Elephas maximus indicus: one gene and its partners. The protein of the gene in region 1 interacts with the protein of each later gene in a pairwise test. Links are inferred from orthologs where the notes say so. Each region holds a gene or a part of one and is shown in the gene's direction. Other genes may lie near its edges.

Evidence for each region. The genes of interacting proteins can lie anywhere in the genome.
Region 2: the proteins of ZGPAT (region 1) and LDOC1 interact in binary tests that used the Homo sapiens proteins (3 or more experiments, as listed by UniProt). The two-hybrid records come from large-scale screens. The link is inferred for Elephas maximus indicus from reciprocal best matches to the Homo sapiens genes ZGPAT and LDOC1.
Region 3: the proteins of ZGPAT (region 1) and CCDC57 interact in binary tests that used the Homo sapiens proteins (3 or more experiments, as listed by UniProt). The two-hybrid records come from large-scale screens. The link is inferred for Elephas maximus indicus from reciprocal best matches to the Homo sapiens genes ZGPAT and CCDC57.

Annotation. Positions count from the first base shown.
Region 1 is NC_064843.1:4,354,530-4,362,209, reverse strand, and holds the start of ZGPAT (zinc finger CCCH-type with G patch domain-containing protein), read left to right. Parts: upstream 1-4,667; 5' UTR 4,668-4,695; exon of another isoform or gene 4,696-4,739; intron 4,740-4,746; exon of another isoform or gene 4,747-4,830; intron 4,831-4,997; 5' UTR 4,998-5,118; coding exon 5,119-5,219; exon of another isoform or gene 5,220-5,221; intron 5,222-5,338; coding exon 5,339-5,986; intron 5,987-7,680. Other genes in the region: ARFRP1 (ADP-ribosylation factor-related protein 1), read right to left, coding at 3,014-3,096, 3,257-3,344, 3,556-3,648. UniProt on the Homo sapiens protein: Transcription repressor that specifically binds the 5'-GGAG[GA]A[GA]A-3' consensus sequence. Represses transcription by recruiting the chromatin multiprotein complex NuRD to target promoters.
Region 2 is NC_064846.1:14,503,391-14,509,371, reverse strand, and holds LDOC1 (protein LDOC1), read left to right. Parts: upstream 1-4,073; 5' UTR 4,074-4,188; coding exon 4,189-4,659; 3' UTR 4,660-5,477; downstream 5,478-5,981. UniProt on the Homo sapiens protein: May have an important role in the development and/or progression of some cancers.
Region 3 is NC_064837.1:72,005,995-72,013,740, reverse strand, and holds the start of CCDC57 (coiled-coil domain-containing protein 57), read left to right. Parts: upstream 1-4,742; 5' UTR 4,743-4,806; coding exon 4,807-4,852; intron 4,853-7,746. UniProt on the Homo sapiens protein: Pleiotropic regulator of centriole duplication, mitosis, and ciliogenesis. Critical interface between centrosome and microtubule-mediated cellular processes. Centriole duplication protein required for recruitment of CEP63, CEP152, and PLK4 to the centrosome.

The DNA of each region.
Region 1 (7,680 bases):
CACCTCCTGCCAGCATCTGGTGGCCTCCTCAGACCCTGGAAGCAGCAAGTCCTGCACACAGACAGCTTCTCTGGCCTGTGCAGGGTGACGACTGCTTAAGGCCACCAGCCCCAGAAATGCCTTGATGGGGCGCCCTGTGCAACCAGCAGAAAGAGAAAGACTCGTGGCTGGTGTGCAGGCAGGCCAGCTCGATGTGTGGATGCAGGCCAGACAGGTGGTGGCATAGAGCCCATAGGTGGTGGCACACGGCCAGGCCAGAAGAGCAGGCACCACGAAGCCTGGGACAAGTATCAGGCAGTAGGCATGGAGTAGCAAACTCGGCCCACGGAGAGGCCTGCACCCTACACCAAGGACCACCAGTGCACCCACCAGCGACAAAAACGTTGTGGCCAGCCCGACTAAGCTGCCCATGCTATGTGATGGGTGCATGCACACAGGGGCCCACAGTGGCTGACAAGGTTGAGAAAACTGCTGCCAACCACACACCCTGCAGTAGTAGAGAACAGTGTGGAGCTCTGGTGGGGTGTCACTGCTCTAGGAGCCTTTGGGCCCATGCCGGCAGGCTGACTACACTGGGCCTCTCCCACTCTCCTGCAGACGTGTGTACTGCGTGTAAGTCTGTCTTCCCTGCCCAAGGACACTCTCCAGCAGCACTGAGGGCTCACCGGGTCAAACACCAGTACGGATGTTGTCACATCACATTAGACTGGGACTCCCCAGAAAAGGAGGTACCAGCTAGACTATGACTGGCAGCTAGCCACTCGTTATATGTGCTCACACCTAGGCACCGCCCTCTGCTACGGTACAAGCTCCAGAACACAGCAGACTCACTGATCACGGACCTTCACGTGGAGTTCCTGCAGGAAGTACCTTCAGGTGGTGCATACCTCCCCTCTCCCTCAAGGACACACAGGTCTGGGAACCGGGGAGGAAGCAGGGGGTTGGCCCTCCCCTTCCAGTGATATGCTGGGGCCGGTGCCACTGGCCCTCCACCCTGAGGCCTGGGTCCCTAAAGGGCACTCTCACTAGAGGACACGGCAAGGCAAGTCAACTACAAACTCTGGCTGCACCACTTTGGGCTTGTGTCCAGGGACCCCAGTTACCAAAAGGAGACGCCTCGTGTAGAGGTAACTGAGCCCAGCTGCAGGAGGCAGGGCTGCAGTCCACAGCGCTGGGGGAACACATGCGGGACTGGGTGCCCCACCCCAGGACTGCACATGGGGAAGGCTCGGTGCCCAGGGCTTGCTGCGGACTCTGGGTCATTCTGCCAGGTAAGCCACTGGGGCCAGCGGACATGGCAGCTGAGCACAATAAGGCCCCAGAAGGTCAGCAGACGGAAAATGAGGAAAGACCGCTGGGACCCCAGAGGAGCCACCTCACGTGTGCACAGTGGCCCAGGCAGCACAGCCACTGCCGGCCACAGACAGAGTGCCTGCAGAAAGCCCTACTCTCAGCTCTCCAGGATCTGCAAAGGGCCAGCCTGCCAGACCACACCTTCCCGGACCTGCACTGAAGCATGACTTCTCACTTTACCCACGGCTGCATCTTCCCCGCTCTATTCCCAGGTATTGATCTTCAATAAACACCCCGCGCCCCAGTCTGTGTCTGCTTGAGAACCTGGCCTGTGACAAGGAAATGTATCCCATGTGGCCTATTCTACTTCCCATGTGCGTCTGGTGTTCTGATAAGGAGAGCCCTGGGCTCGGTCAGCCTCTGGCCAGTGCCAGTGGTCAGAGAGAGCAGGCCCAGAACTTCCAGCCAGTGCTGGTGGTCACAAAAACCAGGCCAAGGGCTTCCGGCCAGTGCCGGTGGTCACAGAGAGCAGGCCAAGAGCCTCCGGCCAGTGCCGGTGGTCACACGGAGCAGGCCAAGAGCCTCCGGCCAGTGCCGGTGGTCACACGGAGCAGGCCAAGAGCCTCCGGCCAGTGCCGGTGGTCACACGGAGCAGGCCAAGAGCCTCCGGCCAGTGCCGGTGGTCACACGGAGCAGGCCAAGAGCCTCCGGCCAGTGCCGGTGGTCACACGGAGCAGGCCAAGAGCCTCCGGCCAGTGCCGGTGGTCACACGGAGCACGCCAAGAGCCTCCGGCCAGTGCCGGTGGTCACACGGAGCACGCCAAGAGCCTCCGGCCAGTGCCGGTGGTCACACGGAGCACGCCAAGAGCTTCTGGCTGGCAAGACAGCCGCTCTCTCAGCTGAAGCCAGGCAGGAGGAACACTGCTGGATGCCTGTTGCTGGGGTGAGAAACCAGCACTCGGCACTTGGTCCCACACAGAGGCAACTGGCAGGTATCAGGGCGGGGACCTCTGCGTCCTGCCCCACACCAATCTGAGAAGAGGGGCTCTCTGTGGGAGGGGCTGGTCTGTCTGCTCACTGCAGGCACACGGCTGAGCTGAAGACCAACTCTATCCCGTGTGGGTTGTCTTGGGGTGTAGGGGCAGAAGAGCCCCATGCTGAGACCTCCAAAGTGCCCAAAACCCACGTCAAAAGAGAAGGCATTGCTGTCCACCTCTGAGGAAGCCGTCCCCCTGAAGAGAAGAAACCACCATGCAAAAACAGGTCTTGCTGACTGAAGCCCAAGTTGAGGGAGGAGACGCTCAAACCCATCAGAAGAGACTTGGAAGTGGCCACCAGCTAAGCACCACAGAGCCTCTGCAACTTGCCCGCACTGAGTCCTCGGCTGTCACTTGTCCATGTCTCGTGATCATTAGCAACAAAATTTTTAAGCTAAGAACAACCAAGGACTTCCTTGCTTCTGGGGAAGCAACTAGGCAGCCTGAGGTAGGATCAGGAAGAGAAACCTCAGGAACAAAGTGGATGAAGCAGCTGCTAACGAGATGGAAAGAGGCTGAGTCAGGTCCTGAGGGCGGTTGAGAACAAGGGGCACTGTCCGGAGAGGAAAGGGGTGGCGGCAGGTGGTGCCTGGAGAGGTGGGGTGGCGGGGCCCAAGCTCTCTACACATACAGAGACACACTCACACACACACACACTCACACGCTTTCCCACGGCAGCTCACCTTGTCCCACAGTGACTGCAGCTCCTCCTGCCCCCCTAGGTCCCAAAACATGAGGCGTGCTTTCCCCACATCCACAGTGCCGACTGGGGAAGGAGAGCACAAGGCTGTGACCCTGTTCCTCTGAATCTCCCACCTCCCCCACACTTGTGTTTCAGAAGAGCAGGCTGCCCACAGGCACGTGAGGGGCCCTGCAGCGTCCCAGGGCTCAGCACCCCACACGAGCAGCCTGAAGGCCCAACTTACTGTTCAGGCCCACGGTGGTGGTGATCTTGGACAGGCTCATCCCTTTGTAATGCTTGTTAAACCGGGTTTTTGACTGCTCCAGGAAAGTCTGAGGAGGGAAGACACCATCAGCCAGCAGGCAGAGCCAATTTCCAAGTTTGCCTCCCATATGTCCCTTCTTGGGCCCACTCCTGAGAAGGCAGATCAATGTGAGAGGAACTGGGGGGTGACCTTCCTGTGGCCTCAAAAGGGGTTCAACATCTGTCTCGGTGGTCAGTGTGCAGCTGAAGGCCTAAAACCAAAAGGGCCCCAGCACGCACCGTCTTTCCGGCATTGTCCAGGCCCAGGATGAGGATGCAGTATTCGTCCTTCTGGAACACGTACTTGTACAGGCCCGACAGCAGCGTGTACATCCTGCCTTGAGACGCCCAAATCAGTCAGGGGTGGCCCAACCCACACCTCACTGCCCACCAGCTTCCACAGCTGGGACACAGCACCCCATCCGTGGTCTGTCCTGCCAACTGCTCAGACCAGGACCCCAGGGGCCACTCTTGACCCCTGCTCCACCACCTCTTCAGCAAGCTTCCTGACTCTGCCTCCACTTCTCCCAAACTGGCCTGCTTCCTCCTTCTCCACTGCCACCACCTGGTGGCCAACAGCCTTCCCAGGACCACTCACGGAGTTCCTCAGTCCTAGCCCTGGCCTCTCCAGGTCACTCCGCTCACAACAACGACTGTGGCCTTTCAGGACGTATGTGGACTCTTGTCCCATCCCTGATTCGCCCTCCCGGTACGCGGAGGACCCCAGCCACGTGTGCGAACGCGCAGGCACACGCCCTCGGGCGCTGAGCGCCCGGCCACCAGGCCGCACTCCGCTCAAGCTCAGCTTTCTCACACGCGGGTCCTGGAACACGGTCGCTCCCACTCAGCCTGGGCAACCGAAAGCTCTTTAAGTTCCGGCTGTGCCAGGGCGCAGGCCTGCTCGCCCACCTCGAGCCAGCACTCGCCAGGAGCCACAGGAGGCTACGAGAAAGGGACGTCCGTTCTTTGGAGACAAGCCACAGGGCCGGGGCTGCGGCAGCCGCTGGGGTCGATCTCGCAGGGCAGCACCCCTGGAGGCGGCGGTGGCCGCGAAAGGCCGGCCCGGGCGTCCGAGGCGGAGGCTCCCGGCGCCCAAAGCCCCGCCGCCCACGCAGACCCTGAGTTCCGAGTTCCTGTCAAGAACAGCGAACTGCCATGGCCTTGCCCCTGGCCCTCACGCCGGCGGGAGGGGCGGCCGGGACGCGCGACCTACCTGTCCGCGGGCCTCGAGCCGCCGCCCGACCCGCACCTGACCCCGCGCTGCGCCTGCTGGGACGCCTCGGCCACCCAGACCCGCTCCCGGCGGCCCCCGCGCACCGCTTCCCGGCGGCCTCTGCGCCGCGCACTTCCGGCGGCGGCGGCGCGAGGGCGGAAGTGGTGGTAGGTGCGAGGGCGGAAGGAGGGTCGCCCGACCGCTCTAGCCGGTGAGGCGGGCGGTGCTCTATGGCGGCTGCTGGGTAACCGCGCGGGGCGATGGGGGGACCGTGCTCTGAGGGGACGGGGCCTGAGCCTGAGGTGAGAGGTGGCGCGGAGGTGGGCGTGGACCCGGGAGAACGGAGTCGGCCCGAAGGGTACTCAGGGCGGCCCAGGGGGAGTTGAGGCCGGCTCCGAGGGCTGACTGGGCCGAGGGTCGCGGGCCGGACTGAGGGGAGCTGACGCGGGCTTCTCTGGTCGCCTACCAGGGAGCCCCGAGCTCAGACAGGACACGGAGAACCCCGGTCAAGCCCGACGCATGATCCCAGGGAGGCCTTGGGAGGGAAGCGTAGCTCTTCGTCGGCGGAAACGAGGTTGTGGGGCCATCGGATGGGATTCCTTGCTGGTTCTCCCCCTTGTCGGCATTCTCATCCTTCAACGGGAGAAATCGCCGAGCTGTTTCACGGCCTGTCTGAGAGTTTCTTGAGACCGTGTGAGTAAGGCTCTGCACAGAGCACGGCCAAACCGGTGCTCAGTCAGCTTCAGCCTTACAGGGTGGTGTCGGGATGAGGGCAGCAGACTTCGGGGCTCATTTGCCTTCTCATTGCAGCTCTGGCTCCGGCAGCCTCCTCTCTGAGGACCTAGGGACACACCTCCGTGTCCTCGACGGCAGGATGGATGAGGACAGCTTGGAGATGGCCTTGCAGACCTACCATGTGCAGCTTCAGCAAGTGGAGCTGGCCATGGGTACTGGCCTGGAGGCATCGGAGCAGGCTGACCTGCACCAGCTGCAGGGAGACCTGAAGGAGCTGATCAAGCTCACTGAAGCCAGCTTGGTGTCTGTCAGGAAGAGCAAACTGTTGGCTACACTGGACCAAGAACACCTGGCCCAGGAGGATACTGAGTACCTGGCTTTGCAGAAGACCATCTCTGAGGTAGTTGAGGTACCAGAAGCCCCAGGAGCAGAATTGGAGACTGTTTCTAAAGGAGAGGCAGGGCCTGAACCCAACAACCCTGGGCAAGAGGAAGAAGAAGGGGGGGATGACGAGGAGGAAGAGTTGAGTGGGACAAAGGTGAACGCCCCCTACTACAGCCCATGGGGCACCCTGGAGTACCACAATGCCATGATTGTGGGCACGGAACAGGCAGAGGATGGCTCGGCTGCTGTCCGGGTGCTGTACCTCTACCCCACACACAAGTCCCTGAAGCCCTGCCCATTCTTCCTGGAGGGGAAGTGCCGCTTCAAGGAGAACTGCAGGTAAAGCCCTCTGTTCTGGTGCCCCAGCAGTTAGGGTGTAAGGGACATGCGGAGAGCGGCAGGATCCCAGCTGGCTCTGTCTGTGCGGTGGAGTTTTGTCCTCCGTGACCCAGCAGAGTGGCTGACAAGGAGAGAGCTCTGTGAAGCAGTAGCTTCCCACAGAAGTGTCCACAGTTAGATATCTACTTCAGTTTTACTGGGGGGAAGGACAGAAGAGCTTATGTTGAAAAGAATAGGCTTCTAGCGCATCAGGAGCAGTATTGTCCAGAATGAAACCTTTACGATTTACTTATATTAAGAAAAATTTCAAACACGCGCAGAATTAGAGAGGGTAAGATCATGCTGCCCCTACCTTGTCGTCCAGCTTCATCAGTTGTCAGCGTTCTGCCAGTTTTGTTCGTTTTCCCCAGTTTGAATACTTTAAGGCGTATTCTAAGAGTTACTGTTTTTTTCATCTGCGAGTATTTTAGGATACGTCTCTAACAGACACAGACGTGAGTAAAATAAAAAACATCACGTAGTTATAATACCTCACAGATGTAGCAGTAATACCTGAGTCACGCTCAGATTTCCACGGTTGTCGCCATGATATCTTTTTTACTAAAATATCTAACTTTATTTTTCCTTTTTACTGTTTTTGAAAGGGACATTTACTGACACTTCCAGTCGATAACTCCTCTTTATAGCCAGCAGACACGGTGACTAATCCTCGTTCTTTGACTGTGTTATCGACTTATAGATTCTTTTTGGGCCCAGAATCTTATTTGGCAAAGTTCTCCTTCCTTTTTCTCTGCAGTGTTTATTGAAATATGACGTGTGTACAGAACAGTGTGTAAATCATAAATTTCCTCAGTGGGTTTTCCCACTGGACGAACCTGTGTAATCAGCAAACAGGAGCAGGAACAGGCTTCCCACCTCAGTCCTCCTGGAGGCTTTCACCACGGAGTCTATATGTGCTGTCCTAGGAGGATGATGAGGGCGAGCACTTCCAGCTGGTGCTTCCTGCAGGCCAGGTGTGCAGTTGTAAGAGTTCCCCACACGTTAGTGCTGTAATCTATCCGTGCGGCTCCATTTCACAGGCTGAAAGCTCAGCAGGGATGGAGTTTGGCTGAAGCATCTCGTGAACACCCACCTTTCCACCACCCAGAGCTGATAAGTTATTTTCTTGAATTTGCTTTGGATTTTTAAAACTAAGATAGGAGGCGCGGCCAAGATGGTAGAATAGCCAGGTGCTTCCTGCGATTTCTCTTACAACAAAGACCCAAAAAAACAAGTGAAACGATTATATTTATGACAAGCAAGGAGCCCTGAACGTCCAAGGCGGTGTTAGAAAATAGACTGAGCTGCAGGGGACGGGAGAGACAGTTCATAAGCGGAGAGGAGTTGCCGCACCTGAATTGCCGGGAACCCCCAGGCACCACTCCCAGGAGTGGCTGCGGCAGGCTGGTGGTAGCGTTAGGCCGTGGTTTCCTCAGGGAGAAGCAGCCAGCTGCACGGCATGCCCACATCTCCGGAACCAGAGAGGAACGGTGCTCTCGGCGAAAGCTAGGTACTTGCGTATATTTTAACGTGCTCCCAGCCCCCAAGTCGGCTTCAGTGGCTGTTGATTTCCTTTGGCCTGAGATAGGCCCTATTAAGCGCCCTGAGGCATTCTGCTGACCTTGGAGTAGGGATAAATTCACAATTGGGGGAAG
Region 2 (5,981 bases), on another chromosome or scaffold:
GGCTCTTGAGCCTGGATAATCCAGGATAATCTCTTCATTTTAAGGTAACCTTAATTCCATCTGCAAAGTTCTCTTTCCACATGTAAGGTAACATATTCACAGGTTTCAGGGATTAGGGTGCAGACATCTTTGGGTGTCTGTTATTCTGCCTACCATGACCACCAAGCTATTTTAAGGTTTACATTATATCACAGAAGAGAAGCCAGGGAACAATTTCTCAGAATTCCCTAAGTGGTTCTCAATTAACATGAGTCAGAGGCACTGACATAAGATTTAGAAGGTGGAAGAGAACAGTCCATCATACTCTTCGAGCAGTTGCAGCCAGGTGCATTGGCAGACATGAGATTCACAGGGGTTTCCTACTAAGCTCTTGAGAAACATCTGCTTTGTTGTATCAGACTGAGACTTTGTTATATTAGACTGAGATAGTGATTGGGAGCTTCACTGAGATTATTGAAAATCACAACAGCTCCTCATCAAGCTCATGAGAACCACCAACTTTGGTGCTTCAGTCAGTGATTATCCATGAAGACTTCTCTTTCATCCCCAACTGTCCCATTAGTTATATTAAACCCCTTAGCACAGTAGTGTGAGGCCATAAAAATAATCTTGCAAACTGAAATTATGCAAAATTATTTTAATAATCAATGGGGAAAATTACAATTTTCCGTGACTTTTAAATTTTTTTTCACAAAATATTAACACCCTCTTGGCGTTAGTTATAAATATAGAGAGAAAAAAAAATTAATAGGATAAAAATTTAGCACAGTGTACTAACTTAACAGTTATTTTGTATACTGTGATTTTAAACATTAGAAACATTGAGCATTAAAGTGTTTTATTTCTTTAAAAAAAAAACTTACCAAGAATATTTGAATAATGCTTGACTTCTTTTTTTCACTGTATGTATAACTTATGGAACAGAGTAAGCATCTTTTATATGCCTTGGCAAATTGTCATACTCCTTTCTGAGTATGGAAACCCTGGTGGCATAGTGGCTAAGTACTACAGCTGCTAACCAAGAGGTCGGGAGTTCAAATCCACCAGGCCGCTCCTCAGAAACTATGGGGCAGTTCTACTCTGTCTTATAGGGTCACTATGAGTGGGAATCGACTCGACGGCAATGGGTTTGGGTTTGGTTTTTGGGTTTTCTGAGTATGGATCAGCTTCTAACATTTTATCCTTTGCTCTTTCAATGTAAAATTTCTCCAAGAGTTCCTTTAATGTAAAGTTGTCCCCTACCCCCCCAGTATCACTTCTCTGGAACAGCTTCTTCCCTTTCATCACAACCACTTTCCAACTTCACTTTCAGTATTATTTTTCACATCTTTGCTGAGCTGTCATTTGTTGGCCAATTCCATCCTTCCATTATCTATTTTTATAAAATGTCACATGGCTTTATCACTGGAAGACAAAGAGGCAACATAATTAGCATGCTTTTCTGTCTGTGCATGAACTATTAGATACACAGTGACCAATCACCAACAGACTTTCAAAGAAGTGATGTGATTGGTCACTTACCATGAGGTACATCTGTTATTTACATAGTGATATATAGACTAAAGAATGAACAGCAAAATCTGGGCTTTATGCTGTTACTCAGTTGATATACCATGGTAACTGAAATTTTAGCCATGTTGTTGGGGAGTGGTGTTAGTTAACTAACACATCTTAACTAAATGATAAAATTACCATCATCCGTGATGGAACAAATTGACATCACGTGCCTTCTGAAATGGTGCACAAAAATATTATACAAAAAGAGAACTGTCTGTGCATAGGGTAGCTTCTATTTACCTGACTAGACCTTGAGAGAGAGAGAGAGAGAGTGCTAAAATTTGAGCTTTAGCAGTATCTTCAAAAATGACTCCTGGGAAATATATTCCTGGCACTAAAAACCTTCTCTGTCTTTATACTTAAATGACAGTTGTGTTATGTTTAGAATTTTTGTGTTAGTTTTTCTTTTGTTGAGGTCTTTGGAAACAGTTCTCTACAGTTTTTTTTTTTTTAAATGTAGGTTTATTTACATAAATCAAGCGGCATAGATTTTAGTGTTTAGTCTGATGGGTTTTAACAATTGTATTGAATCATGTAAACACCACCACAGTAAAGATACAGAACATTTCACCACCTCAAAAAGTTCCCTTGTGCCTCTTTGCAGTCAATCTGCCCTATACATTCAGCCTCAGATAACCTTTCTTCTGATTTCTGTCACCACAGAGTAGTTTTGCCTCTTCTTGGATTTCGTATAAATTGAACCACATAGTCACGCTTATGTGCCTGACTTCTTTCAGCCAACATAATGCTTCTGGAATTCATTCTTGTTTATGTGTGTTAACAGCTTGCTGAGTGGTATTGATTATAAGGATGTGCCACAAGTTGTTTTATCCATTCTTCTTTTGATGGTCATTTGTGTTGTCTCCAACACTTTATAAGCATTCTAGCAGAAATCTTTGTGAGCATATATTTTTATTCTTTTAGGGTAAATACTAGGAATGGAATTGCTCAGTTGCAAGGTACATATGAAAGGAGCCCTAGTGGCACAGTGGTTAAGCATTTAGCTGCTAACTGAAAGGTTTGCAGTTCGAACCTATCAGCCACTCAGCAGGAGAAAAATGTGACACGCTGCTTCCATTTACAGCCTTGCAAATCTTATGGGGCAGTTCTACTCTGTCCTATAGTGGAATGCCTTGTTTTTCCGGGTTTCACAAGTTTTCCATCTTTGACAGAATGCAGTTATACCCCCTTTTATCACTGTTTCCTATCACTCTCTATTAGTGGAAAATATTTGAGTATTCCTTCTCTGACAGGTTTTCCCCTTACACAGGTTCCAGCTTTCGTAGGTTTTTACTGTATATGTTTAACTTTATAAGAAACCACAGCAAATATGTATTCCTGGGCACAAACAATAAACTCACTTGGTTACTAACCAATAGATTGGAAGTTCAATTCCACCCAGAGGCACCTCAGAAGAAAGGCCTGGCAATCTACTTCCAAAAATCAGCCATTGAAAACTCTGTGGAGTACAGTTCTAGTCTGACACCCATGGGGTTGTCATGAGTCGGGACTGACTTGACAGCAACTGGTTTTTTAATGAGGTGACTTTTGTTTTAAAGAGGTTCCTGTGTCTACTCTGTGGGGTATATACTACAGGAGGAGGGTAAGAGTGAAAGCTAAGACATCAGTTGTGGAAGTATGGGTGCAAAAAAGAAGTCTTAGACCAGGGTGTTAGTGGTAGAGGTGACAAGAAGTGATTTAATTGGGGATATATTTTAAAAGCAGAGCCAACAGGATATGTTGACTCTAAGGTCCTGGGTCAACTCAGTTGCTCAACACCTACTGGAATAATCACTTTCAAAGCAGAAAAACAAATGCATTTAAAAACACAAACGTCTTAATTGTTAAGCAAAGAATAATAATAACACTTAATGGCCAAGGGACGCCAATATTAAGACATGAACTAGACGTACAAATAGGATGCCTGCAAAGGGTTATCAGATTCTGATTTTGCAGAACTTTTTATACCTCGCTATTTAGAAAAATAAAAAATGAGTTATACAACATTTCCCAAGTAAATTCCGTTTAAATTTTGTTTTGTCATGAAAGACAGGACCCCTTGAGGGTGTGTATGTCTCAGAAAGAATGTGAATCCTGCAAGACACCCACTTCTGCAGCCAGGAGTTCTTTGGGTGCGTGGAATTCATGCAAATAGAATCTAGTGGCTGCAGACCTAGGAAGGGAACACTGAACTGTGTTTTTTTGGGTGTGTGGGGGGGAAGGTGGTTGTTAATCCTTTCAATTTGAGCCGGTTGGCTCTCCTTGAGAGATAGGTCTCGGCGCCTGCTAGGCCCTCGGTTAATGCAGCTCACAACCCAGGTGTCTAACGGCCCGGATAAACCGGCGGGCTGGTGAAGCCCCTGCCAGCCCTGCCCCTAGCCACGCCCCCACGCCCCAGCGAGCCCATTCATGGCCTCGCCCCCGCGGCCCTGCCTGTCCTATCCATGCCACGCCCCCCGCGCCCAGCCGGCCGCCCTAGCGACCAGTGGGCGGAGCCTGCGCAGTGGCCAGGCCCCCGGTGCGCTGTCCCCTCCACCTCCTCGCGCGCCCCGGTGGACACGCACTTCCTGCGAGGCCTCCGCGCAGCCCGTGGCCGAGCCGAGCGACCCGAGCCCCTCCAAGGCGTTCGCCATGGTGGACGAGCTGGTGCTGCTGCTGCACGCGCTGCTGATGCGGCACCGGGCCCTGAGCATCGAGAACAGCCAGCTAATGGAGCAGCTGCGGCTGCTGGTGTGCGAGAGAGCCAGCCTGCTGCGCCAGGTACGTCCGCCCAGCTGCCCGGTGCCCTTCCCCGAGACGTTTAGCGGCGAGAGCGCCCGGCTCCCCGAGTTTATCGTGCAGACGACGTCCTACATGCTTGTCAACGAGAACCGATTCTGCAACGACGCCATGAAGGTAGCCTTCCTAATTAGCCTCCTGACCGGGGAAGCGGAAGAGTGGGTGGTTCCTTACATCGAGCTGGATAGCCCCATCCTAGGAGATTACCAGGCCTTCCTCGATGAGCTGAAGCAGTGTTTCGGTTGGGACGATGATGAAGATGATGATGATGATGACGACGACGACGACGACGACGATGACGATGAGGAAGACGACTATTACTAGGCCCGGAGCCCTTCGGGCCTGGGGGGAGGGCTTTGCACGCTGCCACCCTCCTCACCCTCCTCTCCTGAGCCGCCGCGCTTACCCTTGTCCCCTGTCCTCCTTGGTCACCTTCCCTCTCCCTGCCCTTCGGTTCTCTGGTTCTCTCTTCATCCCCCGTAGTGCTTGTCTTTGTTCCAGGAATAGTGCTCCAATAACCTGCTGCTGGGGCGGGGGTATCCCTAGGCACCTCCCCACCGCCCGTTCTGGCCAGCCCCAGGACCCTCCCTGTCAATTTGGCATGTCGCCTGAACCCCAGCTGTAGGCCAGGCCCAGGTGACAAATTGGACAGACCACCCACAGTCCCGCTGCTGCCACTCACCTGACTGCCAGGTCTGCATCTGCCCAGAGACCTAAGCTGCCATCTACGGCTTCCCACTGACGTCCACCACCTTTGGAGCTAAGGACCAACTTAGAAGATGCCTGAGTTGGGTGCACCTCCTTGAACACTGATTTGGACAATTCACTGACCCTTGCAAAGACAAGCCTTTCAGCCTGGTTAGTTCCCTGCCTATTCCCAGCATCTCCCCTGCCCCACCAGGTGGCTGCTGGGGTCTGGCCACCAAATTGGGACATTTCTTCTCTCCTCCGCATCAGTTGTGCACAGCTGTTGTTTTTCTTTCAAAATTGCAGCAGTCCTGCAGATGCGTGCATTTGGACAACAAAATACAAAAACCAAAACAGACAAACAAACAAAGACAGGTACTCAGCCCAATACTACCTGGAAAAAGCATTTGCATTCTTTTCAATAAATATCAAGCACTAAAAAAATATATTGTCTTTTAATGGTTAAGTGCTGCCACTCCCACTCTGGCTCTCCTTATTCCCACTGAGATCAGGGGACCAAGTTCCATCCCAGTTATAACCTACTGTCATCTCTAGGCTAAGGGGCAGCCACCGCTGGGCTTGATACAGAGTCTGGAGCTCCCCTCACCAGGGCATTTCTTAAAGCCATGGTGAAAGAAGTGGCCTCTGGGTACTCCAGGGTGGCATGGATAGGGGGTGGCTGAACAGGTGGCACATGATCCTAAATTGGGGGCACTTGATAATTAGATGGGGACAACAGGCAGGAGTCTGGACACATATATGATGTTCCCATCTCCCTGGGCCTTTGAATTCCTTCCTCAATGCTGCCAGGGAAATTCTGGCCCTTAATCTGTATTGCTTGTGGGGGTGTGGTGGAGCTCAAGCTCAATTAACCAGTGTCGCACACTTTCAGGTGCTCCAGTTAACATTAAATCCTGGATCCTGGGTAAGTGCACCCATAATCAACACAGCCTGATCTC
Region 3 (7,746 bases), on another chromosome or scaffold:
CCAGGGGGCAGGAGGAAGCCATGCCTTGGGTGTGGTTCTGGGCTCCCCTCCTGCCTCCAGGGCCTGTGAGCAGACGGCTGGGCAGATGGAGAAGTGGCCAGGCAGGCCTAGGGCAGGACGTGGTCCAAAGCAGGGGAAGTGACTTGCTCAGGCTAGGCTCCACCCACGCCTCTTGCCCCTTGCCCTGTACTCACGGGACTCCAGGCAGCCTGGAGGCAGAGGTTCCCACTGGGGATGACCACCAGTACCACAAACCTAGCAGCCAGAAATTGGAAGAAAGGCCCAGTGGTCGTGGGTGATTAGGGCTGGGCGTCCTTGGGCAGCCCTGGGCTCCCTGCCTCCCTGGTGCATTGCCCTGGGAGGGTCATCCCAGCTGCTGGGCCAGGGTGCCCACCCAGTGGTCAGTCAGTAGCATCCTGAGAGCTGCAGGCCCAACCCCCCAGGTGATGGCCTTTTGGCCTTCCTCTTCCCTTGTTTGCGCCATGGATGATGGAACCAGCTGACGTGTGTCGACATCGCTGTGCTGGGCAGTACAATACTTCGGTTTGCTTGTCGGTAAACAGGGGCAAGTTACAGAACTGTCTTAGTTACCTAGAGCTGCTGTAACCCAAATGCCACAAGTACAGAAATTTGTTTTCTCACAGTTCTGGAGGCTGAAAGTCCAAATCAGGGTCTGGGCTCGCAGATGATCCTCACGTGGTGTCTATTTTCCCCTGTGTGTCTCTGTGTCTATTTTGCTCTTTTTATGAGACACCCCTCAGATTAGGTTTAGGACTCACCCTATGCTGGTGTGCCTTCGTTAACATGACAAAAGAAAACCCCTTATTCCCAAACAGGGTCATATTTAAGGTTAGCAGCGTTGTGCACGGGGTCACCCTGGGTCGGGGTCCTCCCCTTAGTTTTCTAGTGCTGCTATAACAGAAATACCACAAGTGAATTGCTTTAACAAAGGAAAATTTATTCTCTTGCAGTTTAGGAGACTAGAAGTCCAGTTTCAGGGCAACAGATCCAGGAGAAGGCTTTCTCTCTCTGTCGGCTCTGGGGGAAGGTCCTTGTCATCAATCTTCCCCCGGGTCTAGAAGCTTCTCAGCACAAGGACCTCGGGTCCAAAAGACATGCTCCCCTCCTGGTCCTTCATTCTTGGTGGCAAGAGGTCCCCCTGTCTCTCTGCTGGCTTCTCTCTTTAATGTCTCAAAAGGCATTGACTCAAGACACAGCCTAACCTTGTAGATTGACTCCTGCCTCATTAACATCATAGAAGTAGGATTTTCAACACATGGGAAGGTCCTAGCCATTAATGAGCTGAAATGGACTGGTATTGGCCATTTTGAATTGGACAATCATATGGTCTACTATGCCAGGAATGACAAAGAGGAATTGTGTTGCATTCACCATGAAAAAGAACATTACATTATCTATCCTGAAGTACAATGCTGTCAGTGATAGGATAATATCCATATGCCTATAAGGAAGACCAGTTAATAGGACTATTATTCAAATTTACACACCAACCACTGAGGCCAAAAATGAAGAAATTGAAGATTTTTACCAGCTTTTGCAGTCTGAAATTGATCGAACAGGCAACCAAGATGCATTGATAGTTACTGGAGATTGGAATTCAAAAGTCAGAAACAAAGAAGAAGGATTGGTACTTGAAAAATATGACCTTGGTGATAGAAATGATGTTGGAGATCACATGACAGAATTTTGCTAGACCAATGACTTCTTCATTGCAAATACCGTTTTTTCACCAATATAAATGGCAACTATACACATGGCCTTCTCCAGGTGGAATACACAGGAATCAAATCGACTACATCTGTGGAAAGAGACAATAGAAAAGCTCAATATCATCAGTCAAAACAAGACCAGGGGCTGACTGTGGAACAGACCATCAGTTGCTCATATGCAAGTTCAAGGTGAAACTGAAGAAAATTAGAACAAGTTGACGAGAGCCAAAGTATGACCTTGAGTATATCCCACCTGAATTTAGAGACCATCTCAAGAACAGATTTGATGTGTTGAACACTCGTGACCAAAAGACCAGACGAGTTGTGTGGAACGACATCAAGGATATCATACATGAAGAAAGCAACAGGTCATTAAAAAGACAGGAAAGAAAGAAAAGACCAAGATGGACGTCAGAAGAGACTCCGAAACTTGCTTTTGAACGTTGAGTAGCTAAAGCGAAAGGAAGAAATGATGAAGTAAAAGAGTTGAACAGAAGATTTCAAAGGGCAGCTCTAGAAGACAAAGTAAAGTATTATAATGACATGTGGAAAGAGCTGGAGATGGAAAACCAAAAGGCAAGAACGCTTTCTGCATTTATCAAATTGAAAGAACTGAAAAAAAAATTAAAGCCTTCAGTTGCAATATTGAAGGATTCAATGGGGAAAATATCAAATGACTCAGGAAGCATCAAAAGAAGATAGAAGAAATACACAGTCATTATACCAGAAAGAATTGGTTGATGTTCAACCATTTCAGGAAGTACCATATAAGCAGGAACCAATGGTACTGAAGGAAGAAATCCAAGTTGCACTGAAGGCATGGGTGAAAAACAAGGCTCCAGGAATTGATGGAATACCAACTGAAAAGTTTCAACAAACGGATACAGCACTGGAAGTACACACTTGTCTATGCCAAGAAATTTGGAAGACAACTACCTGGCCAGCCAACAGGAAGAGATCCATATTTGTGCCCATTCCAAAGAAAGGAGATCCAGCAGAACGTGAAAATTATTGAACAATATCATTTATGTCACACTGCAAAAAAAAAAAAAAAAAACTGGGTGTTTTTTTTGCAAGTAAAATTCTGCTGAAGATAATTCAAAAATGGCTACAGCAGTACATTGACAGGGAACTGCCAGAAATTCAAGCTGGATTCAGAAGAGGATATGGAACAAGGGATATCATTGCTGATGTCAGATGGATCCTACCTGTAAAGCAGAGAATACCAGAAATATTACCTGTGTTTTATTGACTATGCAAAGTTTTTTGTCTGTGTGGATCATAACAGAGTATGAATAACATTGCAAAGAATGGGAATTCCAGAGCACTGAATTGTGCTCATGCAGAACCTGTACAGAGACTAAGAGGCAGCTGATGGAACAGAACAAGGGGAGACTGCATGGTTTAAAGTCAGGAAAGGGGTGTGTCAGGGTTATATCCTTTCACCATACCTATTCAGTCTGTATGCTGAGCAAATAATACGAGAAGCTGGAGGAAGACTCATTAACAACCTGCCTTATGCAGATGACACAACCTTGCTTGCTGAAAGTGATGAGGACTTGAAGCACTTACTGATGAAGATCGAAGACCACAGCCTTCAGTATGGATTACACCTCAACATAAAGAAAACAAAAATCCCCACAACTGGACCAATAAGCAACATCATGATAAATGGAGAAAAGATTGAAGCTGTCAAGGATTTAATTTTACTTGGGTCCACAATCAACAGCCATGGAAGCAGCAGTCAAGAAATCAAAAGACGCATTGCATTGGGCAAATCTGCTGCAAAGGACCTCTTCAAAGTGCTGAAGAGCAAAGATGTCACCCTGAAGACTATGGTGCTCATGACCCAAACCATGGTGTTTTCAACCCCCTTCTATGCAGGTGAAAGCTGGACAATGAATAAAGAAGACTGAAGAAGAGTTGATACCTCTGAATTGTGTTGGTGAAGAATCTTGAATATACCATGGACTGCCAAAAGGATGAACAAATCTATCTTAGAAGAAGTACAGCCAGAATGCTCCTTAGAAGCACGGATGGCAAGGCTGTGTCTCACATACTTTGGTCATGTTGTCAAGAGGGATCAGTCCCTGGAGAAGGACATCATGCTTGGTAAAATAGAGGGTTGGCGAAAAAGAGGAAGACCCTAAATGAGATGAATTGACACAGTGGCTGCAACAGAGGGTTTAAGCAGAATGATTGTGAGGATGGTGCAGGACTGGGCAGTGTTTCATTCATAGGGTCTCTATGAGTCAGAACTGACTTGATGGCACCTAACAACAGGGAGATCACAGCAGATGACAAAATGGTGAACAATGACATGATACTGGGAATCATGGCCTAGCCAAGTTGACAAACATTTTTGGGGGACACAATTCAATCTATAACATCCTCGACCAAGTCAGACTGGGATTAGAACTCAGGAATCGAGGTCCCGGAGCCCAAGTTCTTGGTCAGCCAGCTGTGAAGCTTGAGGGCCTGGCACCCTTGGCTGGGCTGCAGGGATGGTCACAGTCACCACAGGGTCAGGGAGTGTGCAGAGCTCTCGTCGACCCCACTTCGCAGGTTGGCCCCACTGAGGCACGCAGGGCCAGGACGCAGACCCCGACCCACGGAAGGGGCGCTGTCCCCTCTGCCGGGACCTCATTGCCACCGAGGGCTGTGTCCGCTCCGTGGGATCTCCCGGCCCCAGGCCTGGGCTCACTGCGGGACATGGACTTGGCCCCCGATGTGCTGTGGCTCTGGGGGCCGGGCCGGGGCGAGGTAGCGCGGGCACCCTTTGGTGCACCCGGTCCTGGAGCGGACCCGGCGACCAGCGGCCGCTCCCCTCGAACAGGAGCTCTGTCCTGAGGGGCCCACGGACTGGTGCGGAAGCCGGCCCGGGCTAAGTGTACGAGGCAGCAGGCCGGGGGAGCCGGGCAGGCTGTCGCCCAGGCCCTTTTCCCGGGACTCCTCTTCGTTGTTTTGAGTGGCGGCGGCCGCGAGCCGGAACCCGGAGCCGGGGTTCGCGTTTCCGCCCGGCGGAGCCCAGCGGCGCACGGAGCGCGCCCGGCCGCGGCCGAAGGACCGAGTCGTCATGGCAACGCGGGGGGACTGGCGGCAGCGGCGGACAGAAGATCCCGGTGAGCCGCGGCGCGGGGACGGGGAGGAGCGGGGCTTGGCGACCCGGACGCGGCGGAGAGACAGGGTCGCCGGGGCGGGTAACGTGCGAGGACCGCGTCCTCGGCCTGCAGATCGCCGCCTGCTGGCCACACTCTGTGCAGAAGCCCGTGACCTCCACGTCTCGGGGGACATCGCTCCTCAGGAACGCGGTGTCCGACGGTGACCGCCCCGGCGCGGCCGGGCTCGGGCTCGGGGTCCGCCGGCGCGGCCGGGCTCGGGCTCGGGGTCCGCCGGCGCGGCCGGGCTCGGGCTCGGGGTCCGCCGGCGCGGCCGGGCTCGGGCTCGGGGTCCGCCGGCGCGGCCGGGCTCGGGCTCGGGGTCCGCCGGCGCGGCCGGGCTCGGGCTCGGGGTCCGCCGGCGCGGCCAGGCGCGGCCCGGACAGTTCTTCACCCTCACCTGTGAAGTGGGGACATAGTATCAGCTAGAATGCTGGAACATTCTGGTTCTAGTCGGTCTTACTGCTTTGGACATGTTGTCGGGAGGGACCTGTCCCTGGAGAAGGACATCACACTTGGGAAAGTGGAGGGTCAGCAAAAAAGAGACTCTCAACGAGAAGGATTGACACAGTGGCTGCAACAGTGGGCTCGGACGTAGCAGCGATTGTGGGCATAGCGCAGGACCGGGCAGTGTTTCCTTTTGTGCACAGGGTCGCTGTGAGTCGGAACCGACTGCAAGGCCTGGAACAACAACAGCAGAATGCTGGAACAGCGCGGGTCCACCCGAGCGCCCCGGAAGCTCACTGACTGCTGTTTGCCCTTCTTCCCCCTCTCTGCTCCCAGTGGTAGACGACACTGCTATTACTTCCTGGGTTGATGAAGTGCGGGTGGAAGGATGGGAACCTGGCACCGAAGCTTCCTGCTATAGTGCTTTGTGTTTTGTCGTTATTTGGGGAAAAAAAAAACAAACCCAATAACCTGATGGCAGGGCATGGTTATTGCCTTTTTACAGACGATGAAGGTGCCACACACAGAAATAAGATCATTTGCCCAAGTTCTACAGCCAGTAAAGGGGGCCAACCCTAGGCAGTCTGGCTCCAGAGTCTGACCCACCCCCCCCCCCCCCCCCAGTTATTTAGGACCTACAGAAAAGTTGCAAAAATAGTACAAAGAATTTCTGAGCACTTTTCAAGCAGTTTCCTAAAAAATGTTAACTTCTTACACAGTTCACGTACCAAAAGTCAGGAAATTAACATTGATATCAGGCGGTAGGAAACCCTGGTGGTGTAGTGGTTAAGTGCTACCGCTGCTAACCAAAAGGTCGGCAGTTTGAATCCACCAGGTGCTCTTTGGATATTCCACGGAGGCAGTTCTGTTCTGTCCTATAGGGTCGCGATGAGTCTGAGTCGACTCGAAGGCGAGGGGTACCAGGCTGTATTCAAACTTAGCAGCTATCTCTGTGAGGACTTCACTCTGACCCAGGATCCAGTCCAGGACCCTGCATTGCTTTTGTGGTGGTGGTGGTGGTGGCTGGTTGTTGCCATCGAGTTTCTCCGACTCAGGGTTACCTTAGGCACAACGGAACGGAACGTCACCTGGTCCCGCACCACGTTGACCATCGTTGGTGTGTTTGAGTCCGTTGTTGTGGCTGCGCCTTGCGTTTAGCTGCTGTGTTTTCTTCGCCTTCTTCAATCGGCAGCCTTTCCTCGGCCTCTGTGTCTTTCACAACCCTGACACATTTGCAGAGCTCTAGCTAGCAATTTTGTAGGATGCCCCTTGGTTTCAGTTTCCTTTGATGTAAGGAAATCTCAAAAGCGAAGCAGTGTTTTTCTCAGTGTAGCTTGTCAGGAGGCCTGTGACACTGACTGGTCCCATTCGTGGTGATGCTGACTTCGATCACTTGGTGTGAGCGCGTCTGCCAGGCCTCTCCACTGTACAGTTGCTGTTCTCTCTTGTAAATGATAAATATATCTGTGAGGGAATATTTTGAGACTATGGAAGTATCTTGTTTCACGCTGTTCTTCCTACCATTAGCTTTAGCATCATGAGCTGAGTTTTGCCTGAAGCAGCTGTTAATGTATATCTGTCTATTCCATATTCGTTCTACATTTGTAATTTGAAATTCTACTGTAAGGTCACTATGAGTCGGAACTGACTCCATGGTACCTAACAACAACTGTAAGGAAGAACCTTCCCGTCTCCCCCATTTATCTATTTATTCATTTATTTTTGTGTATTGGTGTATTTTTTATATATTCATATATTAAAAAAAAAAAAAAAACCCATTGCTGTTGAGTGGTGACCCTGTAGGTCAGAGTAGAGCTGCCCCATAGGGTTTCCAAGGAGCGGCTGGTGGAGTTGAACTGCTGGTCTTTTGGTTAACAGCCGAGCTCTTAACCACAGGGTCACCAGGGCTCCAGCTATTCGTATATTAGTCTATGTATTTTGTGTAGGGTATGTGTACTAGTCCGTAACTCATGGATTGTGATTTTATTCCATGGGTTGTAATCTAGTACTATCATTGATTTTGTTGGTTGGATTGTCCCATATTTGGCCATTGGGAGCCCTTCAGGTTGGCCTCTGGGTCCTCTTCCGGAGCACTTCTTTACTTTCTGGTACCACAGATGTCCCAGGCTCATCTTGTGCTCTCCTGGACTAGCCCTGGAATCAGCTATTCTCTAGTTCCTTTTAGTTGAGGACGGTGTTTAGACATCTGGGTACTGGGTGTGCTCGCTGCTTCTGGGGTGTCATTGCTCCTTGGCCTTCTCAAGGGACAGAGCAGGGAAATACATCTTTGTATATATCATACACACCTGTCTATTTCTACATCTGTGTACCTATGAATTTGCACTGACACCTTCAGTTCCCATCCATTACCACAGGGCTTGTGCTACTTTCCCTTGCCTGGTTTGTGATCC